Linked DNA regions of Arabidopsis thaliana. The protein of the gene in region 1 interacts with the protein of each later gene in a pairwise test. Each region holds a gene or a part of one and is shown on either strand. Other genes may lie near its edges.

Region 1 (4,544 bases):
AAATACATATTTTCATTTGTATGCAACCAGAATAAAACACTAACTATCTCCTTTAAATACCATTTTCCCTACGAGTCTACGACGCTCTCTAAACTTCTTATACAAAACAAAACACACCCAAATATGCATAAGCTTTTGTTTTCTCTTCTCTCCGTCGTCTCACTCTCATTTCTCCTCTTCTTCCATGGCGCCGAGGCACGCCAGCGAGAGGCGCCGTTTCCAAACGCCTGCCATTTCAGCCAAATCAACAGCCTCGCGCCCGCTCAGGCGACGAAGTTCGAAGCCGGTCAGATGGAAGTATGGGACCACATGAGCCCTGAGCTCCGATGCGCCGGTGTAACGGTGGCTCGCATCACCCTTCAGCCCAATTCCATTTTCTTGCCCGCTTTCTTTAGCCCACCTGCCCTTGCTTACGTTGTCCAAGGTAAGAAAATAAATAAATACGCTTTTTGATCAAGACCTAATTAAAAACTCGCAACCTATAGAAAATCTAAAAAAAGTGGTCTTTTATTTTAATTGTTTTCAGGAGAAGGAGTTATGGGGACGATTGCTTCTGGTTGTCCTGAGACTTTTGCAGAAGTTGAAGGATCATCAGGAAGAGGAGGAGGAGGAGACCCGGGTCGACGTTTTGAGGACATGCACCAGAAGTTGGAGAATTTCCGGCGAGGGGATGTGTTTGCTTCGCTTGCCGGAGTTTCACAGTGGTGGTACAACCGCGGTGATTCCGATGCCGTCATTGTCATTGTTCTTGATGTCACCAACAGAGAAAACCAGCTTGACCAAGTCCCTAGGGTAATCATCAAATTCAAGAAAGTCCAAATTTGTACTGCATGCAAACTATATGACTACCACTCAGTGATTAAAATAGTGATTCATATATATAACACATAATGTCATTTTTTTGTGAACCCTTCATATGTAGATGTTCCAACTAGCCGGGAGCAGAACGCAAGAAGAAGAACAACCATTAACGTGGCCATCAGGCAACAACGCTTTCAGCGGTTTCGACCCAAACATAATCGCGGAAGCATTCAAAATCAACATCGAGACAGCTAAGCAACTACAAAACCAGAAGGACAACAGAGGAAACATAATCCGAGCAAATGGTCCTCTCCATTTCGTCATCCCACCGCCTCGTGAATGGCAGCAAGATGGCATTGCTAATGGCATCGAAGAGACTTATTGCACGGCTAAGATTCATGAGAATATCGATGATCCAGAACGGTCTGACCATTTTAGCACACGAGCCGGAAGAATCAGCACTCTTAACAGCCTTAATCTCCCTGTTCTACGTCTAGTCAGACTTAACGCCCTTAGAGGTTATCTCTACAGCGTAAGTATCCCACTTTTAAATTAGATTTACAAATTCTTTATGTGCTATATAATGAATTCTCGTGGAGATAGGGAGGAATGGTGTTGCCACAATGGACGGCAAACGCGCACACGGTGCTATACGTCACAGGAGGTCAAGCCAAGATACAAGTGGTGGACGACAATGGTCAGTCGGTGTTCAATGAGCAAGTGGGACAAGGCCAAATCATTGTGATTCCACAAGGCTTTGCAGTTTCAAAAACGGCTGGTGAAACGGGTTTCGAGTGGATATCATTCAAGACAAACGATAACGCTTACATTAACACACTGAGCGGCCAAACATCGTACTTGAGAGCAGTTCCAGTGGATGTGATCAAAGCGTCATATGGAGTGAACGAGGAAGAAGCCAAGAGGATCAAGTTTAGTCAGCAAGAGACCATGTTGTCTATGACACCAAGCTCTTCTTCTTAAGCTCTTTAATTGCTTCCTTTAATGTTTTTTTAGATTTTCCAGTCACTGAAATAAATAAAGATGAGACTAATAACCAACTTTTCACAAAGCTTCAATAACAAAATTTCAGATTAAAAATTCCTACTAACATACACATCTTAGCTTTTATGATTACGTTGATTTTATTTTGTTAAATTTGATTACGTTGATTAGTGTATATATTAAATTAAAATCATTGAAAGGATAATGATAACACTAATAAAAAAAAGAAGAAGAAGGTTACGGTCTCGTAAAGCTTTCAAAAGTCCGCAACGATCACACACGTCTTTCTCCGAAACTCGTCTGAGAGAGGCTCTGAGATTCGATGTCGTTCGAGGAAGAAGAAGAGGAGGAAACATTCGAGCATACACTTCTCGTGGTGCGTGAGGTCTCCGTTTACAAGATCCCGCCGCGAACCACATCCGGCGGATACAAGTGCGGCGAATGGCTTCAATCCGATAAGATCTGGTCTGGTAGACTCCGCGTCGTATCGTGCAAGGATCGATGCGAGATCCGCCTCGAGGATTCGAATTCCGGTGATCTTTTCGCAGCTTGTTTTGTGGATCCTGGACGTAGAGAGAACTCTGTAGAGCCGTCTCTCGATTCGTCTAGGTATTTCGTTCTCAGGATCGATGACGGGAGAGGGAAGTATGCGTTTATCGGGCTAGGATTCGCTGAGAGGAACGAAGCGTTTGATTTCAATGTTGCGTTATCGGATCATGAAAAGTACGTTAGGAGGGAGAAAGAGAAGGAGACAGGGGAAACGAGTGAGAGCGATAATCATATTGATATCCATCCTGCCGTTAATCACAGATTGAAGGTAAACTGATCTGTTCATAAGCTAGCTTTTGGAATTAAGATAGGATCAATGCGGAATCTGATAATTTGGAGAAATCTGATTGAAGCTTTCAGATCTATTTTGGAAAAACAACTATCGAATCCAATGTGGAATTGATTGATTCAGATACGTTTTGTAGTATCATTCTCATTGCAAAGTTCTTATCTTGCTAGTAGGCTATAGCTAAAAGTTGCTTGGTCTTGGTGTTTGTATCAGTGATGAGAATATTTTGGATGCATTATCTGCTGAGATTGATTAGCTATTCGTTATTTGGATTTTCTAATTTCCTTTATTTGTAGTGTTATTTGGTGGAAGATCTTTGTAGTTTGTATGCTCTGTGTAGATATTAGGATGAGTAAATAGTACCAGCCTTAATTTTTCTCGATCTTGTGTTGTGTTCATCATCTCTAATCTTAAATTGATGCTGCTATATGTCTTGATTTTGCTCTTTTAGTCTTCACAGATGGTTCATAATCACAAGTTTTGTTTTAGCATCCACTCGTAGTTGCAGAACATACTCATTTGATTTTGTTTACTCAATATCTTTCTCTGGGAACCGTAACTGTAGAATCAATATTTCAATTCTGATTGAACTCCATCATTTATCCGGAAAAGGAAAATTCTTGGCATTTGGACTTGGTAGAACCTGAAAAGATTGTTGTTTTGATGGGTTTTAAGGAAGGTGAAACCATAAGAATCAACGTGAAGCCGAAACCAACAACAAATGGCACTGGGATGCTCTCAGCTGCTCTTTCAGGAACGGGGAAGCCAAAACCTCTAGCACTTGCCCCACCCCCCAAAGCTGCCGGAGTAACCAGGTCTCCTTTACCTCCTCCTCCAAACGATCCCGTCGCTTCAAGGATTGCATCTGATGGCTGCAAGGAATCACGCAGGAACGAGCCTCTATCTGATCTATCTCAGCTCAAGGTAAATAAACCTTGTCTTCTTAATTACATTTATTCTTATTCTCTAAGGTTACTCTAAATTATCCTTGATTTGGTAATACTCGGCAGAAAAATCTTCCTTCAACGGCGGGATCAGGATCGAGCAAGTCAACAGGAGCTGCATCAGGTTGGGCAGCTTTCTGATGAATGGAGTGTAAAATTTAAGTTATTGGACAAGTCCGGCTTCATCTTCTTGTGACTTGAGAGCACGAGACAATAGACAACAATGGTGGTCAGCCAACAGTCTTTTTGATGTATGTTAATGGTAAGTTGATGTGTGTTTCTTTGTAATCCTCCCACACTCCCTGTTTTAATTATTTTTCTTCCTTATAATCATCGTTGTTACATTATCGATTATCATTTGTATCACTGAGATATTAATATATACAAAAAGGCTTTTTCATAATTTCAACTTTTGCTTCTACGTAAAACTAAAATGCTAAATCTGTTTGCTATTGCATGACTAAGCAAATAAATGTACAAGAAAATATTACAAAAAAAAAAAAAAAAACATTTTGTACTCCCTTATACGCTGTCGTTTGGTTGACGATGCGTGATGACCAGCACACTGACGTGGCGACGTGCAAAGAGATACAATCGTTATATCACTGACGTGGCGAAAAGGTACTGGTATGACGTGGATTTAGCGTTGAACGAAACATATTTAAAGGACTGCATATTTGACCAAAGTAAACAATGTCGGTCCACCAACTAATCGTTACCTACTCCTTGTATCTGACCGCTTGAGAGCTTTTGGAGACTGGCAAAAATGGCGGAGAAAGATGCGACGGCGAGTGGCGATGACGCCATTAGAGTTAGCGGTATGCAATTCGCATACGAAGTTGAGGATCCAATATTCTTCGACTTCAACCTCGATCTTCCAGCTGGTTCTCGCTGTCTTCTGGTTGGTGCCAATGGATCTGGTACGATGATCGATTTCTAGAGAGAGATTTTCCTTGTAG
Region 2 (7,931 bases), on another chromosome or scaffold:
CAACAATCCTTCTCCTCCACAACAGCAACAGCAGCACCAACAACAACAACAACAGCATAAGCCTCCTCCTCCTCCGATTCAGCAGCAAGAAAGAGAAAATTCTTCTACCGATGCACCACCGCAACCAGAGACAGTGACGGCCACTGTTCCCGCCGTCCAAACAAATACGGCGGAGGCTTTAAGAGAGAGGAAGGAAGAGATTAAGAGGCAGAAGCAAGACGAAGAAGGATTACACCTTCTCACATTGCTGCTACAGTGTGCTGAAGCTGTCTCTGCTGATAATCTCGAAGAAGCAAACAAGCTTCTTCTTGAGATCTCTCAGTTATCAACTCCTTACGGGACCTCAGCGCAGAGAGTAGCTGCTTACTTCTCGGAAGCTATGTCAGCGAGATTACTCAACTCGTGTCTCGGAATTTACGCGGCTTTGCCTTCACGGTGGATGCCTCAAACGCATAGCTTGAAAATGGTCTCTGCGTTTCAGGTCTTTAATGGGATAAGCCCTTTAGTGAAATTCTCACACTTTACAGCGAATCAGGCGATTCAAGAAGCATTTGAGAAAGAAGACAGTGTACACATCATTGACTTGGACATCATGCAGGGACTTCAATGGCCTGGTTTATTCCACATTCTTGCTTCTAGACCTGGAGGACCTCCACACGTGCGACTCACGGGACTTGGTACTTCCATGGAAGCTCTTCAGGCTACAGGGAAACGTCTTTCGGATTTCGCAGATAAGCTTGGCCTGCCTTTTGAGTTCTGCCCTTTAGCTGAGAAAGTTGGAAACTTGGACACTGAGAGACTCAATGTGAGGAAAAGGGAAGCTGTGGCTGTTCACTGGCTTCAACATTCTCTTTATGATGTCACTGGCTCTGATGCACACACTCTCTGGTTACTCCAAAGGTAAAATAAACATTACCTTTTAATCACTCTTTATCTATAAATTATTTTAAGATTATATAGGAAAGATATGTTCTAAAAAGTGGCTTTTTTGGTTAATGATTGGGGAATGAACAGATTAGCTCCTAAAGTTGTGACAGTAGTGGAACAAGATTTGAGCCACGCTGGTTCTTTCTTAGGAAGATTTGTAGAAGCAATACATTACTACTCTGCACTCTTTGACTCACTGGGAGCAAGCTACGGCGAAGAGAGTGAAGAGAGACATGTCGTGGAACAGCAGCTATTATCGAAAGAGATACGGAATGTATTAGCGGTTGGAGGACCATCGAGAAGCGGTGAAGTGAAGTTTGAGAGCTGGAGGGAGAAAATGCAACAATGTGGGTTTAAAGGTATATCTTTAGCTGGAAATGCAGCTACACAAGCGACTCTACTGTTGGGAATGTTTCCTTCGGATGGTTACACTTTGGTTGATGATAATGGTACACTTAAGCTTGGATGGAAAGATCTTTCGTTACTCACTGCTTCAGCTTGGACGCCTCGTTCTTAGTTTTCTTCTCCTTTTTCACAAACAATGTGCCCATAAATAGATTTACCTGTTTTTTTTTTGTTATGTATCAAAAAGAGAGGATTTTTTGAAGTCAAATTGTTCTCACTCACACTCTGTATTGGCTACCTGATTGGTGGAATACATAGAAGTTAATCATGAAGATTAGAACACTTGATATTGAAGAAAACACTTGAAAATGGTACATCAATAATAAAAATGATAACACGTTTAACTGAAAAATCATTTACAAATACACAATTCTTTTGAAGGCTACCATTTTTTTTTTTGGGAATTGTTATGTATTTTTTTTTTAGCAACTTGAATTGTTTTGGTTTACTTTTTTCCAAAAAAAAAATATATACATGTTGTTTTTTATTTTTGTTATGGCAAAGAAATTGAGATGTTTGGATTTTTCAATTAAAAAAAAAAAAACTCATCTACGCCTTTTCATATTTCGCTTGAACAACAACGAAACCCTAATCTGGTTAAAGTTGGATTCGGCCAAGTCCACCACCGTGGAGCTCTGAATTCATTTCTCTTGTAATTCATCGATCGCTGTTGAATATTTTCAATTTGAGTTCCCACGGTAGAAACCATTCCGATTTATACGGCTACTTCATCGCTCGAGCTCTCTCGTTTCTGTATCGATCGCAGCGTATCTGATTTGTCACCGGTTTCAGGCTTGTTTCTCTGACCTCTGGTTATCGGCTCCCTGATTTTGCGCTCTATCTATTAATCAATCTCTTATTCCAAGTCTTTGTTCCGCTGTTATCACAGCTCATCTTCATCTTCCATTCACTGGTGTCTTTGGTCCGGCGTCGTTGTGCTGCTTTCAGTTCATCACAGGTATTCTCATTTTTACCTGTTTCTTTTTTATTGAGGATTTCGTGGATGTGACCAGTTCAAGTTTTTTGTATGTTACTTTGTATAGCTTTTAAGACTCGATTACTGAGAATTTAGGCCTAATCGTCAGCTGAAAATATAATGATCTCTACTGTTGTATGCATTCTTCTCGTGCTTTTGTTACTTCATCGCCAATGCATGTTTTTCTACTCTGAGAGTGAGAGAATCTCTAGCTAGTTCCTACAAAGTCTCTTTGTGATCAGTGTTGGGAATTCTTAATTATATATGCATTAAGATATACCTGTCTCAGACTCTATACGTGATTTTCAGGAAAGAGCTTTAAATATTAAGCTTTGAATATTCTCTCAGACCATCAAAGATTTGCTTGGTGCACTGGCCGGAAATGGATCCTAGTCGATATGGTCGTCAGCAAGAATGGGATAATAACAGTGTAATTGTGGTTTTCTCCTTACATATATGGGATGATAAACAAGATATTTTTAGGGATGTTATGAATCTCAACTCATCCGTGGAGTGAGAGACTTGGGAGAGTGAGGATGTGGATGGGATTTGGCTAATGTAATATCCGTCAATGATGTTTGTTGCTGACATAGCTTATTCTCTTCAATTCACAGGCTCCGGAGGGTTATGGTACTCAGCATGATCCAAATCATCGGTGAGTGCTAGTAAAATGGATTACATTGATGTAGTTGTTAATTTGTTATTGCTCATGGGGGTATATTTATTTTAGCTACTGTAACTAAATTGTATTTCTTGTACTTTATTTGGTTTGGTTACTTGTGCCGAAATATTCATGATAGTTCATATTTCATTTTTTTAATATCTTTTCTGTACCTATACTACATTGCTCTTACAGGTTTGGCGTATCATATGATGACGGATATCCTGATGAAAGGTTGATGCGGGATGATGTCTACAACTATCCACCTGGACATAATACTCTGGGTGACTTGCCTCAATCTAGAAAGCGAAACTATGAAGAAAATTATCCCAGTGAACTTCGCAGGCAAGAAAAGCCTTACATCGATTCAAATTATGCTGCTGACTATTATCATGATAGTGAAGCTGGGAGTCGTAATGGACATTACCGTGATCATGAACACGAAAGGTCGTCCAGATATGATGGCTGCGATGACTATTCTTGTAATGATAACAACTATAGATCGAAAAATTACCATCATAGCAGAGATGATGGTCGTGAAAAAGATTATGATTATACTCGCCGAAGTTATGATTCTGAGTATGAAAGGGCCAGTGTGAGAGATGGCAGTCGAAAGAGCCGTGATCCGCAGGACAGAGAACGGAATTCTCGAGATAGAGAATGGGATTCACGTGATAGGGAGTGGGACAAAAGATGTTACAGCCGCGAAAGAGATGAGAGTCCTCATAAGAGATATGAGAAGTCACGATCTCGATCTACCGGACGTGGGGAGTTCTCTAGATCAAGATCTCCTAGAGGTCGGAGCCATGGGCGGAGTTACCGGGAGGACAGCTATGAGGGGGATCACTGGAATGAAAGTGAGAGGCGAAGAGAATATGAAGATAGACATAACCAGGATCATTTTTCTGCTGTATAAAATATTCTCTCATCCCTGGTCTATATTCTTTTGTTGCGAAGACATTTAAAAAATCCGTTCCTATATTTTTATGGTTTTTGCTAGACCCCATCCGCCACTGTTGTTGTGAAGGGTCTCTCTATGAAATCAACAGAAGAAGATCTATACCAGATTCTGGTAAACTCTTCATTTTTTTGAATCTGTATGTCCTCAGGTTTAAACAATTTTTCATGCATGACTTCATTATTCCCATGTGCATGCTAGGCTGAATGGGGTCCTTTGCATCATGTTCGTGTTATTCGGGAGCAAAATTCTGGGATTTCTCGTGGATTTGCTTTTATTGATTTCCCCACGGTGGTATTTGCTTTCAACTAATCTGTTAATTCCTTGCGCTTTTTCTTGTGATTTCTTCAACACTGTGTGCATTTATGTATTTTGTCTGAGCAGGATGCCGCACGCACCATGATGGATAGAATTGAGCATGATGGTATAGTTTTGGATGGAAGGAAACTTATGTTCCATTACAGGTCTTTTTTTAAATAAACATAAGACTTTGATTGATTTAGATATTACCTATGGAGGGATCATAGAATTACTACACATTTAAATTATTGTTTCTTGACCGTTTCAGTATCAGAGTATAACATTCTTACACTAAATTGCGTGTGTTGTAGCAGCCAACCTACTGGTAGGGCTGGTGTGTCCCGTAGGCAGGAACATGCTTCTAGACGCAGTTATGGTGGAAGTCGAAACATGATAGTTCCCACAGATTGGATCTGTACAATCTGTGGCTGTATCAATTTTGCGCGGCGAACCTCTTGCTTTCAGGTTGGTGCATTGTTTTGGATGAAAGTTCTGTAAATTTCATTGTCAGGACTAGAGTATAAACCCATCTGTTAAGAACAGAAATTACATATATTTAATTACCGGAAGAACTACTCATTGTTTGGTGATTCTAGAGTCTCAAACAAAGTGATAACTACTCATGATTTGGTGACGACAATACCTTAAAAAAAATAGAACCGATAAAACTTTCAGAATATATCTGTTTTTTGCTCCTTAGAGATTATTTGCAGTTCCTTTTGGTGACGAATATGTATCATCAATTGACACTTTGTTTGAGACTAGGGTGGCATACATATTTTGGTAGTAATGGTAAATGAACATTTTAATTTAATGTCGACACATTGATGTCCATACCTATGCTAGAATGTATTTGTTTGCATATACAATAGTTTGTTTGGAAATAGAGAAATTTCCATTTTTCAAATGTCAATAAAAAAAGAAGTCAACTAAAACCCTTTAACTGATCTTTTTTGATGGGTTTTTAATTTATCTTTCCTTCTATTTACTTAAACTCTGTGAAGTCTTTATCAATAGTTTAATCTTGTGGTGGACAATTGTATCTGTAGCCCTTCTTTGCCATGCCGCTGTCTGTGTCTTGATTTATGATAGAACACTCAAAAGTCCTAAGTTCAGTTATAATATGGAATAACAAATTTGTGGCCATTGCATAAATGTCTGTGATCTCTGTCTCCTTATGCAGTGTAATGAACCAAAGACCAAGGATTCTCCTTCAGCGGATGTAGGTTTATCAAACTCTGCAGCAGGAAAACGAATTTCTGAGACAGGTTCTGATCAGCATTTTTATTTAAGATGTTTTAAATTTCTTTCTTGAGTCAGAAACAGTCGCAACTGTTAAGGCCATAGTCTTTGTACTTTTCTACATGCCATATATACCTAAGATACATTCTGCTTATTTTCTTTTCCAGGTCCAACTCATGTCCTGGTTGTACGTGGGTTGGATGAAGATGCTGATGAGGAAATGCTTCGGTATGAATTTTCCAAACATGCTCCTATCAAGGTTAACAAAAACCCTTTTGGATTCGTTGTCTATTAAGATATTGTACTTTATATGTCAGTTGACCTGGTTTTCCTCTTTCCGCCATTTTGTAGGATCTTCGTCTTGTGAGAGACAAATTCACTCATGTTTCACGAGGATTTGCATTCGTGCATTTCTATTCGGTAGGGTCTCAAAGCCAAGTTGGTTGTTGAACTTACTCCTTAAACTCTCTCTTCTGCTTCGCTTTTCCCTTACTGATGATTTAAATTGCAAGTGTGCCTTTTGATCAAAGATTTATTCGATTGTGTAGAAATTAGAAACCCAGTCTAGATGATCAGTACCACCTGGTTTTTATTCTGCTTGTGAAGAGTGATTATGTTTTATAGTTTTTTTTTTTTATAAATGTTTAAGTGTCTCTTTAGTAATCATGATCTACTAGTTTTGTGGGTATTTTTGGCAATGTTTGGTGGTGAGCGCACTCAATCATTTATTTTGTCGTACTTTTTTATAATCTACATTCGACAACCACCTTTTGCATTGACTTGTAAAAGCTCTTGTAGTAGATTATTTATTTCGTCACTGATTCTCTTACCAATTTCATATCTGAACGGTGATCAGATTTTGTAGTAGAACTGCTTGATATGTCCAAATATCTATTTTCCCCCAGTTTATGTGTGTATTTGACTTTTTTTTAATCCACCTACCAACTTGAAACAGAAGATTATGATTATGTTCGTGTAGGTTGAGGATGCTACTAAGGCACTTGAAGCAACAAACAGAACAGCTCTTGAAAGGAATGGTAAAATTCTTAGAGTTGCGTATGCAAAGAGTGTTCATGGTTCTGGAACTGGTATATCAGCACCCTCGCACTCCAACAACCTCGCTGCTGCTGCAATTGAAGCAGCAACGTTTTCTCAACAGGTACTTGAAGATTGTTTTGATCCAGTTTCCCTCGTTTGTATTGGTGATCACACATTGATCATTTAATTAAATTTTCCAGTATCTTTAGATGAGGATTGTCATTCTTATGATTCTTCTACTCCATGTGCCCTGACACTCATGTTGGTCCTTATTAGTATGACGGTGTTGGATGGGCTCCAAAGGAATACAATACTGGTGAGAAACAAAACACTGGAGGGCAGGCCCAGGGTGTTGGGGAAATTGAATCCCAGAAAGGGACTTCTGCTCCACAGTCTGGCTATGTGTGGGATGAAGCATCTGGTTATTACTATGATGCGGCTTCTGGATACTACTACGATGGAAATTCAGGTCGGCATTTACTTATATTGTTATTTATTTCTTTGAATTGATTGTATGGTTGGGTAGCTGCAGCTCTAATTCCCATATCTGGCATTGCAAAACATGTAATGGGCAAAAGTAAGATTGATCCTGTTGGCTGGTTGTATAGTCCTGCTATAGATGTATTCTATTATAGGATAACTTCTTGGCAAAAATAAGTCGTCAGCTCTGGTTTGTTCAAACTATCCTGTTCTTTTTTATGATTGTGGAATTCTTATACTATGTATGCACCAAACTAGCAAACATCGAGATACAATCAATCAATCATACAAGTGTATGTCTTAATTAGACTTTTAAATAATGGCTGTAGGGATTCAGCAAGTGTTATATGATTACTATTATGGCTGCTGTTGGACTTCCAATGGAAGTTTTTTCTTTTAGTTATTGCTGAGTTATGCCTTCTTATATATGTGTATGTGCCTTAAAATTTCGCATCTGATATGGCACAATGATAGACTGTTTTAATGATCTTGGTTATCACTAGGCACCTCTTCTTGGTGTGTGGTGATGGGAAACTTGGTTTCACTGGTATAAGAAGTGGGTAATATTCTCTATTAATCGTATGTTTCTAAATATACAGGTCTCTATTATGACAGCAATAGTGGGCTTTGGTACTCGTATGACCAGCAAACACAACAATATGTTCCTTGTCCTGATCAGAACAATGAGAGTAAAGTAACAGAAAACCAACCAGACTCTGCCAAGAAGGAGAAATCCAGTCAACAAAAGGTTATTATCTCGGCGGCTACTACCCCTAATGTAGAAAAAGTTCTGTCCTTACCAGATGCGGTTCAGGCGGCTGCTGCAGCAGCAATTGCATCAGAGAAGAGAGAGAAAGAGAGAGTGAAAGAGATAAAACTTGCATCAAAGACTAGCCTACTCGCCAGCAAGAAAAAAATGAGTAACGTTTTAACAATGTGGAAGC

The links. The genes of interacting proteins can lie anywhere in the genome.
Region 2: the proteins of ABCI18 (region 1) and SUA interact in a two-hybrid assay, tested with the Arabidopsis thaliana proteins (one large-scale study listed by BioGRID).

What each region holds. Positions count from the first base shown.
Region 1 is NC_003070.9:989,127-993,670, forward strand, and holds ABCI18 (non-intrinsic ABC protein 4), read left to right. Parts: upstream 1-1,979; 5' UTR 1,980-2,125; coding exon 2,126-2,620; intron 2,621-3,316; coding exon 3,317-3,565; intron 3,566-3,651; coding exon 3,652-3,726; 3' UTR 3,727-4,000; downstream 4,001-4,544. Other genes in the region: AT1G03890 (RmlC-like cupins superfamily protein), read left to right, coding at 124-424, 527-792, 923-1,333, 1,405-1,782; ABCI19 (P-loop containing nucleoside triphosphate hydrolases superfamily protein), read left to right, coding at 4,352-4,505.
Region 2 is NC_003074.8:20,071,182-20,079,112, forward strand, and holds the start of SUA (suppressor of abi3-5), read left to right. Parts: upstream 1-1,920; 5' UTR 1,921-2,124; exon of another isoform or gene 2,125-2,221; 5' UTR 2,222-2,290; intron 2,291-2,617; 5' UTR 2,618-2,690; coding exon 2,691-2,738; exon of another isoform or gene 2,739-2,922; coding exon 2,923-2,963; intron 2,964-3,164; coding exon 3,165-3,879; exon of another isoform or gene 3,880-3,969; coding exon 3,970-4,041; intron 4,042-4,128; coding exon 4,129-4,221; intron 4,222-4,311; coding exon 4,312-4,391; intron 4,392-4,538; coding exon 4,539-4,692; intron 4,693-5,410; coding exon 5,411-5,495; intron 5,496-5,636; coding exon 5,637-5,728; intron 5,729-5,820; coding exon 5,821-5,889; intron 5,890-6,448; coding exon 6,449-6,628; intron 6,629-6,783; coding exon 6,784-6,976; intron 6,977-7,586; coding exon 7,587-7,931. Other genes in the region: SCR (GRAS family transcription factor), read left to right, coding at 1-900, 1,015-1,444. UniProt on the Arabidopsis thaliana protein: Splicing factor that controls alternative splicing of the developmental regulator ABI3. Reduces splicing of a cryptic intron in ABI3, leading to a decreased in ABI3-beta transcript. Regulates the splicing of the receptor-like kinase SNC4/LRKL-2.6.